Oryzias latipes: one gene and its partners. The protein of the gene in region 1 purifies or fractionates together with the protein of each later gene. This does not show direct contact. Links are inferred from orthologs where the notes say so. Each region holds a gene or a part of one and is shown in the gene's direction. Other genes may lie near its edges. The genes, in order: map3k4, gadd45b and gadd45a.

Region 1 (3,650 bases):
GCTGCTCGAGACTTCCAAGGCAGGGTGCAGGCACTCTGTTTGTGGCTTAATATCACCCAGGACCTTAATCAGAAGCTGCGTGTAATGGCCACGGTGCTGGGCCTTCACGATCTCTCTCGCATTGGTTGGCCCGTCTTTGAGATCCCCTCCCCTCGCTGTTCTCACGGAAATGAAGAAGCAGAAACGGAAGAAGATGAGAACGACTCCACGGCCACTTTCACACCTGAAAGTGACGGCGAGGACCGAGACGTCGAGGAGGTTGAGGCAGACGTTGCACAGGGAGATTTGTCTCCCGTCCTGACTCCAAAATTTGCTCGATTATTGTCAGGAGACGAGTTTCTCCCGACCGCAGCTTCGGGAAATCCTGAAGCGACTGCGGGATGTGAAGCACTGTGTCCCACAGCCATTTACAGGCCGTTTGTGGATAAAGCTCTGAAACAGATGGGACTGCGTAAACTGATCCTCAGACTGCACAAACTAATGGACCGCTCTCTTCAGAGAGCCAGAGCAGCTCTGCTGCAGCAGATTCCTGCTCTGGAAGTAAGACTCAAACACTCAGTTAGCAGGTTATTTTAGATCATCCTGCTGTGAGCAGCTGTTTGAATGAATGCCAGAGAATATGTGTTCATTTGAATTTTATTCAGCTTCCAGTGAGAGGAAGACATCTCTTAAATATTAAATAATTCTTTTGTGTTTTATGGAGTCAATATTGTTTTAGTGGCAGACGGAAAAAGCGAGCAGAAACTCCAAGCTAACTCTCATTTTTATCTCTGCAGTTTGCTGACTTTCCAGATCCCATGCTGTACAGCGATTACTTGCCGGAGCTGTCTCGTCATGTGTCCTATAGCGATCCCACTGATCCAGAGCAAGGAGTGGATCAGGTGTCCAGGGAGGACTTGCTGGACATGGATCTCCCGTCCTTTCGTCCAGCATTCCTGGTGCTGTGCCGAGTCCTCCTCAATGTCATTCACGAATGCCTTAAACTAAGACTTGAACAGAGACCTGCTGGGGATCCGTCTCTGCTCAGTATAAAACAGGTAAGCAGCTCATCAAAGTCTTCATTTTTTTGGTTTCTTTGCACGTAATTAATCAGATTATTAGGCTGCAGGTGATCCATTTTTCCATCTCATGTTTGCTTTAATGTCTACTTCTTTAGTCAAGTAACAGTTTGCTTACTTAAGATTAGTATTTGACTTTAAATAACTTTATTTTCCAAAGAAAATTCATGGCTGTTGCAGTAACCAATTAGTAGGGCTTTGGATCGTTACTTAGGCGGCGATTCACTAATCGACATCAACGATTCACAGATCAAACCACAATTCTCACTTTCCATTATGTTTAAATGGTTTCATTATGCATTTCTCTATACGTAATGTACAAAAATTAATATAAAATCTATTTAAACACCATTTTTTTACAAAAGTTTTGAAGGAAATAAATGTATTACATGTAATGTACAGTTCCAGTAGATACATAAAAATTATGTCACTTTATGTAAGCTGACAACAGTGTTTACAACAGACATGTTTTATAAACCGACTTTTTTTCCCATCTTCAGTGAAAATGTCAGAACTACAAAACTTTAGATGAACATTTTGCAGATGTGTTCTGGTGCGGACTATCAGCCACGCTAGCATACACTCAAATTACGTCAAAAATCTGATCATGAGATTTTAAAGACCCTATTCGATTAAATTATAGATAGATAGATAGATAGAAAGATAGATATGATCTTGTGGCATTTTTCCAAAAGATTAAGAACACATGTAGAGAATATTAAGCCTTAAATAAGATTTCTGAGTATTTCTTTTTTCAAATCGTGAATGAGGAGCAGATGATAAAAGGTCTATTGAAAAAGATCATATTTGTGACATAAAAAATATGCTGGATATTCCAGAAGCTCCCTGTTCCTCTCCATTTTATTCAACCACTTACAGACAACAAACACAATTGTTGTTTTTTCTCGTCTGACTTGGCATTTGGCTCAAAACTGTATGGCTGGATAGCACTGATATTATTATATTACATTTCTGTTGCACTGGTAATGTTGTGAGAGGCTTTAAGCACTTAAGGGCTTTATTTCACAAAAATTAACTTCTGTCAATTGTTTTTTCATCTATGAACAACACTTGAGTGTTTTACTTAGAAAATGAGAACCTTCACCTACACTTAAGACTAAATATCTGTGGTTTAAGTGTATATACCTAAAATCCAGCATTATGTAGATTTAGAGCGATAATGAAGTACGTTTTTTTCTTCTATCCTTTACTGTATTTATAGATTTGCTCGCAAATCGGCTATCACGCACGTCATCGATATTTGCCCTCTGTTATTGTAGAACAGATTCTGAATATCCGAGTATTCGGATACTCGTTACAGCCCTACCCCTCGGTGCGTAGAATTGCCCTGACATGTATTGTTTGTCCCTCTGCAGTTGGTGCGTGAATGTAAAGAGGTTCTGAAAGGTGGCCTTCTGATGAAGCAGTATTATCAGTTCATGCTCCGAGGGGTGGCCACTGATGCTCAAGGCTTACAAACCAGTGCCAGCATAGATGAATTTGAAGAGGACCTTCACAAGATGTTGGTGGTAAGTCCTGCAACCGTCTCCACACCATTTAGATCAAGTTAACAAACCTAACAGAAGCAGTGAAATGGAAAGAAAAAGAAAAAGTTTAATTTTAAATGTATGGAGGATGAAGTGTACGTGCAATTTTGATGTAATCGCCATGTTTACTCTCACTAATTTCTGTTTGGGGTTGCAACTAAAAACATATCTTTTTAAAATAATTTCTGTGTTTTATCGTGTTTTACTGTGAAACACTTTGTAATTTTTATCTTGATAGGTGCTCTTCAAATAAAGTTTATTATTATCAACTGTTTGGTAAAGACGGAGGTCACCCTGGGCAGGTCGCCAGTCTATCAATATGGTCAAAATAAGAATCAGAAACAATCGCTTGGGGGAAAAAAGGATAACCTTGTGAATTAGTGGCACAGCAGACAGGCAGACTAGCTGACAGCATCTTATCTGGTGAGCCCAAGACAGCTTTGTCTTCTCCACTATCAGGATTCAAAGAAACTCGCACAACACTGATAAGTAATCATGACGAAGAATGATATACAAGAGACAGGAAGAGAGATTAGAATTCAGGGAGAGGTGATGGACTGTTCTTTGATTTCCAACAAAATCCACACAAGAGCTGGTCAGTTCATTTCCTGCACCGTGGTGACTTTCTGCAGCAGGGAGGTGGGAATGTTGGAGAACCTGAATCCCATACAGATAAGATGCCTGACATAACATCCAGACTTTGATGGATGCAGTCTGAAGCCTTCAGGCCTCAGAGTTGGTAGTTGGAAACCATGATGCAGCAGCTCGCGTTCACACCAGCCTGTTTTTACTAATCCAACACAACCCTGGATCTACATCATCCAGAGCTCCATCATTCCCAAATGTATATGTTGTGGAAAATCACTAAATAACTTCACACTTTCACAGAAATGTGAAAGTGTTGAGCAAGTTTATCATTGCTAAGTGTTAAAACTCTGAGTTGCACGCAAAAAGGAATCAAATTTCTGCTGTTTTTGTAGGTTTATTTTGAGTATATGCGCAGTTGGATCAAAATGCTGCAGCAGTTGCCTCAGGCGTCTCACAG
Region 2 (3,577 bases), on another chromosome or scaffold:
AGACCACCAGATGGCGCAATGACACCAGAACCCAGCAAAAGCTGCAGAGGGCCACTTGTATTTTACAATTTATTATTTTTAAGCATTAACTGAATTAAATTTCACAGAAATATATAAATACATACACAAGAAAGTAAAATAGGGTTTTAATGAGGGTTTTATTGAAAAACATGTTAACAATAGAAGATTTAAAGATAAGAAAAACACTTTGGCTGGAAATGTTTAAGAACTAATGTTGAAATATTAAAGAAAATTACTATAAATCACAATATTTTAAGTAAAAACTGACTCCTTGTGCATGAAGTTTGTTCACTCAATAAACCTGTGCAGTTATTTTCGTTTTCAGTCTTCCAGATTTATGTTTTTAAGGGGCATCTCCAGTCATTTGTGTTTAATTCAGTTAACAACGTCTTTGAAATAGTTTTAGATGCTTATCGCTCTGAAATGAAACCCACTTTTTTTCTTTTTGATAAGCTTTATATCCTGGACCTCAAATCAGAAATTCCCTAAAAGGCCACCTAAAAAAATAATAAAAATAAAACAACCTGCGAGTTCGCGCAAATTTCCCACGTAAGAAGCCCCCTTCAAGTCCCTGAGGAGCACCAGGAATCCCCCCCCCTCCCCTTTCTTCCTGCAACCAGACTGGTTTTGCAGAAACTTTTTTCCTGCAAGATTTCCTTTTCCCCCGCTAGGGGGCGATCGAGAGCTGTGTGTTGGGGCAGGAAGCTCTGATGAAACCTGGAGCTCATGAGTGATGCAAGCTTGCTGAAACACTTGAGTGTAAGTTTACGCACAGTCTGCAGTCAGTTTGATTTATTATTTTTGACTGTTTTTCTGGATGGTTCTGCATATTGCAGTTGCATGGTGAAAGGAGATTAATGGGATAATGGTTAAGGGGGGGGGGGCGGTAAGGAGCGAGTATTAAGAAGCAGAATGAACTTGCAAAAATCAAAACCACACTTTTCACTTCTGCTAATATTAAAAAGCATGATCTTTTACTGTTATTTGGTATGCGTTAAAAAAAACACTCTTGCACAACTTGCAGCGCCGGGCTGCCGTTACACAAGCTGGGGCTCGTGCTCTGACACGGGGCAGTCACCTGCCATGGTCCTAAGCTTTCAAACAAAAAAGAAAATCATCTGATTCCAATTCGAGACTTTCCTCAGGCAGGTGCTGCACCGTTGGGTGGTTGTGCAGTTTTGTTTTTTGTAGCCCCCTAAGTTTCTGGTGAGAGGAAGCAGGAAGATCTGGAAATTCCTCCACTCAGATCGAAAGCTCCCAGTAAACACGCTTAGTGGAGAGAACGGAGACATACGACGAGGAGGAGGGCTGAGAGCGGGGGATTCTCCGAAACCACCCACGTGGGAGCACCGGCAGTTGACGCCCGCCCAACCAATCGCTGCGCTCCCCATCTGCGGCGAAACCAATCAGCGAGAGCAAGCGTCTGGGCGCGTCAAGAAGCGCCGATCCGCCTATAAAAGCGGACAGTTTCGACTGTAAGAGGACAGAAACCTTCACACAGACTAAGAACACGGACTAAGAACTCAATCACGGACGGAACAACGATCAAAAACCTATCTGGATTACATTTGTTTTGCCGGGACTCTACCTTTGGATCTAAACGCGTCTCAGCATCGCTGGGGATTCTGTTTTTTATCCTGGAGCTTGTGGATTATTTTACTGACTTCAGCATGACTCTTGAGGAGGTTGTTGGATCCAGCAGTACCGACAAAAAGTAAGTGTCTGAAAAGCTGTCTTTGCCCTAATTCTCCGTTAGTTGCAGTTTAGCGGTGTTGTTTGAGATGCGTTACGCAGTGCGCGCCCCGGTTTCTAACCGCCTCCTTGTTTTCTGCAGGATGGAGACGGTGAGTCAGGCTCTGGAGGAGTTGCTGGTCGCGGCTCAGAGGCAGGACTGCCTCACAGTGGGAGTCTACGAGTCCGCCAAACTCATGAATGTGTAAGTTCTTCTTCTCCACGAGACGCGTCTGAAATGGCTCCAAAAGGCGCGCGCTAACCCGGCTTTCTTCTGTTTGCTCCTGCAGAGATCCAGACAGTGTGGTTCTGTGTCTTCTCGCCACCGACGAGGAGGACGCGGACGACATCGCGCTGCAGATCCACTTCACGCTGCTGCAGGCTTTCTGCTGCGATAACGACATCAACATCCTCCGGGTGTCCGGCATGAGGCGCCTGGCGCAGCTGCTGGGGGAGGACACCGAGAACAGCAACGGGAACGAGCCCCGGGACTTGCACTGCATCTTGGTCACTGTAAGTTTCTCCTTCACTTAACGCACCACTTTCAGTGCATCCACAGGACCGTGTTGAAGCATGAAAATGACCCCCCCCCCTTTCATCTGTTTGCAGAACCCCCCCGTGCAGCCGCTCCAGTGTCAAGCTCTGCAGGACGTCAGCAGCTTCTGCGCAGAGAGCCGCTGCAGGAACCTGTGGGTTCCCTGCTTGGAGCTGAAGGACCGCTGAGCGCAACTGAACCTTTCCATTTTTGCCTTTTGCCTACCGCCCGAGGAGCGGTGAGAAGAAGCTGAGAACAGCCAAGACCCTCGTGGTGAAGAGGGGGAGCACGACTCTCCTCCCCAAGGGAGCTCGACGAGCCTCAGTCCGCCTTTTAGACGGAATCACGGGAGCGCGTGGGATGATGGCGTCGGTGCTGAACCGCCGCGCCAGGAGCGCGATTGGAGGCTCCGGGTCAGGGAGCGTTGCAAGTTTTTTTTTTTTTTCTTAAACGAGGTGACGACAGCGGAGGCGTCACGTGACTGAACCGATGCATGAACGAGGAGCTGCAATGGACAGAGCCAGGTGTCTTGCTCACCTGTTTACGCACGAAACCTTCTGTTATTTAAGTGCACAGATTAATATATGAAAAAAATGGACCTACATGTTGAATCTCATTTATTTAAATAAATTATGCATTGAACAAACAGTGATTTCTGCCTTTTTTTTCCTTTTGTGAAGAGTATGATGTCACTTTCTGCTTCTCTAGACCCAGAGCAGTCTCTGAGAAGACATTATATAGAAGTTTTTCTACTAGATTACTTAGAGGTTACTACATTTATAGTTTAGTCATTGTTGAGACTTACAGGTGCAAAGTGGGGCCCTTTACCCAGAAGGATGACTTCAGGTGTTTAAAAAAAGTAGCTAATGGCTTTATTAGTGTTTAAAAAGAAAGAAAAAAACCGTTGTGGATTTATTTACATATTGACATTTGTGTCTAAAACAAAATAGGTTGATAGAAGCTGAGAGTATCAAAGCTGCTTGTCACAGCCAGAATCTGAGTGCACTACTGTACTTTACTGTAGTCTAAGGGAGAAAAAGGTTGACTTAGAATCAAAAAAGGCAAAAATGTAACCAATTGGACAGAAAATCTCAATTGACAAGTCTTTCTTTCTAAAAATCCTGCATTTTTTTCAGTCAGATTTCTTTTTTAGGTTTAGCCTCATATTTTTAAACCTTTTTGCAAAACTCGTGTTTTTTCTGGACAAGGTGCAGATCAATGAGTTATTTGATCTCTGCTTCCATCTTGAGTTTGACCCTACATGATAAAAATACGTTAGAAAACATGTAG
Region 3 (3,898 bases), on another chromosome or scaffold:
GGGTCCCATTTTTAGGGTTGTTGGTATGACTTGGCCTGGATTTGCACTCAAAACCTTCCAGTCACGGGGCAGACACTCTTCCACAAGGCCACTGAACTGGTGTCGCCAACTCAACGGGCTCGGTTTTAACAAGTACCAGCTGAACCTTGTCCTCTAGGTTGAGATATGCCTGCATGTTCACTCTATGTTCAAAATGTGCTTTTCGAAGTTGTTTTTATTTGGGCGGTTGAGCAGGTTGTCCAATGATCAAAGAGTCGGCGGTTCGATCCCCGCTCTCCCCAGTCAACCATCGCTGTGTCCTTGGGTAAGACCCGCCTCCCTGCCTCCAGCGTGGCTCCACTGGTATGTGAATGTGTGTGAGTGTCCCGGTGATGGTCAGAGGGGGCATAGGCGGGAACTGGCAGCCACGCCTCTACCATCACCAAGTATGGAGGAGGTGCCAAGTCACTTCAATGCAACGGAATAGAAAATATTAAGCAGATTCGCTCAATAATCATGTGTTTGACTGATTTGAGAGCTTTGATATCAATATTTTAAGGTGTAAAAATGTTTCACTGATTTAATTAAGCAATGTGCAGTGTTAGTTTTTACAGTGTTGTCTGAGCCTGCAGGGAGTTTTGGAGACCCCAAAGTGTTTGGACCCCCCCCCCCCCCCCCCCCCCCATGCATAGCTTGAAGAGCAGTCAGGCTTTTTGGTACCAGCCTCTCTGCAGAACCACAGAGTCCAACAGGGGCCACAGACCTGTGGGAGAAACTGCCTTACTGTAGATCTGGAGCTCAAAAGCAGCGCTCCTGAACGAACCAATCAGAGAGCAGGATTCTGAAGTAGCGGTCCGCTGTCCTGTAGCTGACCTGAGGCCTGCCCTGTCCAGCCCTGAGGCCTGCCCTGTCCAGCCCTGCGGCAAAGGTTGAACCCTTTCTGCTGATGAATGTGAGCCACAGGTCAGCTCATCTGTCAAAAGGTCACTTTCTGTGATGAAACGTGACACTGGCGGGCAGCGCGAGGAGTCAGGAAGATTTAAAGATGGCGGAGAGTCAACAAGACGTTTAGCGCCACAGGTCCGTTCCGAACAGGACCAGGTTACTCTGGTTTCAGAGAAAAACCATCAGAGACTTTGCCCAACTGTCCGTCAGAGAGCTGCAGTTACGGTAGTAACTACACCGGACAAGACCCGCCCACCTCCGAGCATCTGTCCAATCAGACGCCAGGGATGTTTGCATTCAGCCAATCGCCGCAGACATGCAAAGAGTCCTCCGGCTCGCATTGTCCCGACCTGTTTTAATGTGAACTTACCAGAGGTATCTGTCAGTTACACCGCAGCGGGGTCAGTGCTTGTCTGTGTGCGTTGGACCCAGAAAACTCCAGGGACACTTTGTCACACCGACGGGTTTGGATTTAATGTACAGAATGACGTTTGAGGAACTGAACGGGGACTATTCTCAGGAAAGGTAACAGAAAAATACGCTACATCATGAGTTTTGTCGACACACATTAATGTTTCGTTCCTGTCGTTTGACTGCAGGAGTTTGTTCCGATTAAAAATGACGAAATTTTGACGATGAAGAGGGCGTTATTATTTTTACAGTTGAATGGAACTCTTTTGCAGGCAGTCGCGAGCGCACTTGTGTAACTGGCTAACAGAGAAATGGTCACGAGCGCACTGGTGTAACGAGCTAACAGAGAAATGGTCACGAGCGCACTGGTCTGGTGTAACTAGCTAACAGAGAAATGGTCGCGAGCGCACTGGTGTAATTAGCTAACAGAGAAATGGTCTTCCTGTGCGAACCGGCGCTGGTTCGGACTCTTTCGGAGCTTTTCGTGTTCAAAGTAAGTCGCGGAGTTAGTTTGTGATGGTTGTGTCTGTTTGCTGCCGTCGGAGCGACGCCGCCGGCCGGCGGGACGTGTCCCGGTTCCTGACCGCTAACTCGGTCGTCTTTCTGCAGGATGGATTCGGTAGCGAAAGCTCTGGAGGAAGTTCTGACCTCCGCGCTGCCTCAGGGCGCCATCACTGTCGGTGTGTACGAGGCTGCCAAATCTCTCAACGTGTGAGTAGGACGTGACCGCGGCTCTCAGCTGGAGGGGGGCAGAAAACGGGGGACCGGCCGGTTCTGAAACTTCTGCTTTCGTTCGCAGAGACCCGGATAACGTGGTTCTGTGCGTCCTGGCCACGGACGAGGACGACGTGAAGGACGTGGCTCTGCAGATCCACTTCACACTCATCCAGGCTTTCTGCTGCGAGAATGACATCAACATCCTGAGGGTCAACAGCACCCGGCGCCTGGGGCAGATTCTGGCTGGAGGGGGGAAGCAGAGTGGGGGGGAGCCTCTGGACCTCCACTGCGTTCTTGTCAGTGTAAGTTCTGTCACTGGGGGGTTCTGCACGCCCACGTGAGCGAAACCAACAGGAGAACTTGCCTGTACTTGCCCTTCTGATGCGGGCACGTGACTCCGCCCTCATGTGTCTATTCAGCTGAGATGTGCGTGCACGCTCACATGCACAGCCCCGTCTGCAAACACTCATTCTGTTCCCGCTCCTCTTTCCAGAGCCCACACTCAACATCGTGGAAAGACCCCGCCCTGAGCAAAGTCAGCCGCTTCTGCAGGGAGAGCCGGGGCATGGACCAGTGGGTGCCAATCATCTATCTGCCCGAGCGGTGAACCGCCGGGGGCAAAGACCTGCCTAAAAGCAGGAGTGGTGTGAACCCCAAGGACACATTGTACCATCCAAAAAGGTCCAATTCTGGAGGAAAAGAACAAAATCACAAAGCAAGAGGAAGTCAGAGTTAAAAAAATGAAGGGTGGGATTTCCTCTGTGAGCAGTTCTGTTTGGAGTAGCGACCGTCAGCCTTTATGAGCGAGATAACCCGTGGACGCGCTGGTGTCGCCGCAAGTTAGAGACGATAAACGCTTTAATGTGAAGCTGGGCAGAGGACAGACGGGCCTCTGGGCGGGTCTGAGCCAGAACATGCAGCTGGGAGTGGACCCCGGCTCGGGCCTCTGCAGACACAAGGCACTTGTGAAACACTGGACCTTCAGCCGTTTCAACAGGATTCCAGTTTTCTCCTGTTCACCATGAAGTTTAGCCTGTTCAAGAAGGAAAACGGCTTCAGGGAAGACTTTGTGTTCAGTGTTTCATTTACCTGCTGTTTTTGCAACAAATGAACTAGTTTCTTTGTTACAATTTAAGTTATTTTAATTCTATTTAAATGTATTTATGTTGTATTTTCTACCATTTGAAGTTTAGAATACAGAACAGGTGTTGCTGTCAATAAAAGCCGTTTTTGGAAGAACTTCCTGGACTTCTTCCCTGTTTTTGGGTTGTGGGGCGAACGCTGAGCTTCAGCAGCTGCAGTTGTAAAAGGCGTCACATGCAGATCCCCGGGGTCACGCCGGCCGCTGTGGCCTCTGTGCCGCTCTGAGCCAAAGAGGACAATGATCCACGGCCCCTCTCTGGACGGGCTTTGCTTGGGTCAGCAGGAACCCGTGCATTCATCCAAACAGCTTCTCTTTTTCCTCGCCTTCTCGTTTCCCCCGTAGTGAGTGAGCGCCACAGGTTAGTAACTAGTTACTAGGATGGGTAACTAGTTCCTCATTCGTTCTCAGGTCTCTGAGGGTTTCCCTGCTGCCGTTTGCAGCTTCACTGAGGAGCAGATCCCTGGAAACACCTGGAACCTTTCTTTCTGCGTGTCATCTATTGTGAAAGCTGCTCAGGCCACGCCCACACTCCTCCGCTTTCCTGCTGTGTCATCGGTGCTCACACAGGCAGGTGATTTTCCAGAGGGGGGGGGCGGCGGCGTCATACGGCTGATGTAAGACGGGCCACCCCTTTGAAACTCGGGAGTCACGAGAGGAGAGGGAGGGGGAAGTTGCTGCATTTCCCGGTCCTGCTCTGCTTCC

The links.
Region 2: the proteins of map3k4 (region 1) and gadd45b purify together in Homo sapiens (co-immunoprecipitation; 3 studies listed by BioGRID and IntAct, counting the BioPlex papers as one, with this or other methods). This does not show direct contact. The link is inferred for Oryzias latipes from reciprocal best matches to the Homo sapiens genes MAP3K4 and GADD45B.
Region 3: the proteins of map3k4 (region 1) and gadd45a purify together in Homo sapiens (co-immunoprecipitation; 3 studies listed by BioGRID and IntAct, with this or other methods). This does not show direct contact. The link is inferred for Oryzias latipes from reciprocal best matches to the Homo sapiens genes MAP3K4 and GADD45A.

Annotation. Positions count from the first base shown.
Region 1 is NC_019873.2:25,298,158-25,301,807, forward strand, and holds part of map3k4 (mitogen-activated protein kinase kinase kinase 4), read left to right. Parts: coding exon 1-540; intron 541-776; coding exon 777-1,037; intron 1,038-2,434; coding exon 2,435-2,587; intron 2,588-3,585; coding exon 3,586-3,650. UniProt on the Homo sapiens protein: Component of a protein kinase signal transduction cascade. Activates the CSBP2, P38 and JNK MAPK pathways, but not the ERK pathway. Specifically phosphorylates and activates MAP2K4 and MAP2K6.
Region 2 is NC_019862.2:22,490,547-22,494,123, reverse strand, and holds gadd45b (growth arrest and DNA damage-inducible protein GADD45 beta), read left to right. Parts: upstream 1-1,487; 5' UTR 1,488-1,691; coding exon 1,692-1,735; intron 1,736-1,855; coding exon 1,856-1,957; intron 1,958-2,042; coding exon 2,043-2,265; intron 2,266-2,361; coding exon 2,362-2,475; 3' UTR 2,476-2,939; downstream 2,940-3,577.
Region 3 is NC_019875.2:6,098,439-6,102,336, reverse strand, and holds gadd45a (growth arrest and DNA damage-inducible protein GADD45 alpha), read left to right. Parts: upstream 1-1,470; 5' UTR 1,471-1,828; intron 1,829-1,944; coding exon of another isoform or gene 1,945-1,945; coding exon 1,946-2,046; intron 2,047-2,134; coding exon 2,135-2,354; intron 2,355-2,545; coding exon 2,546-2,659; 3' UTR 2,660-3,291; downstream 3,292-3,898. UniProt on the Homo sapiens protein: In T-cells, functions as a regulator of p38 MAPKs by inhibiting p88 phosphorylation and activity.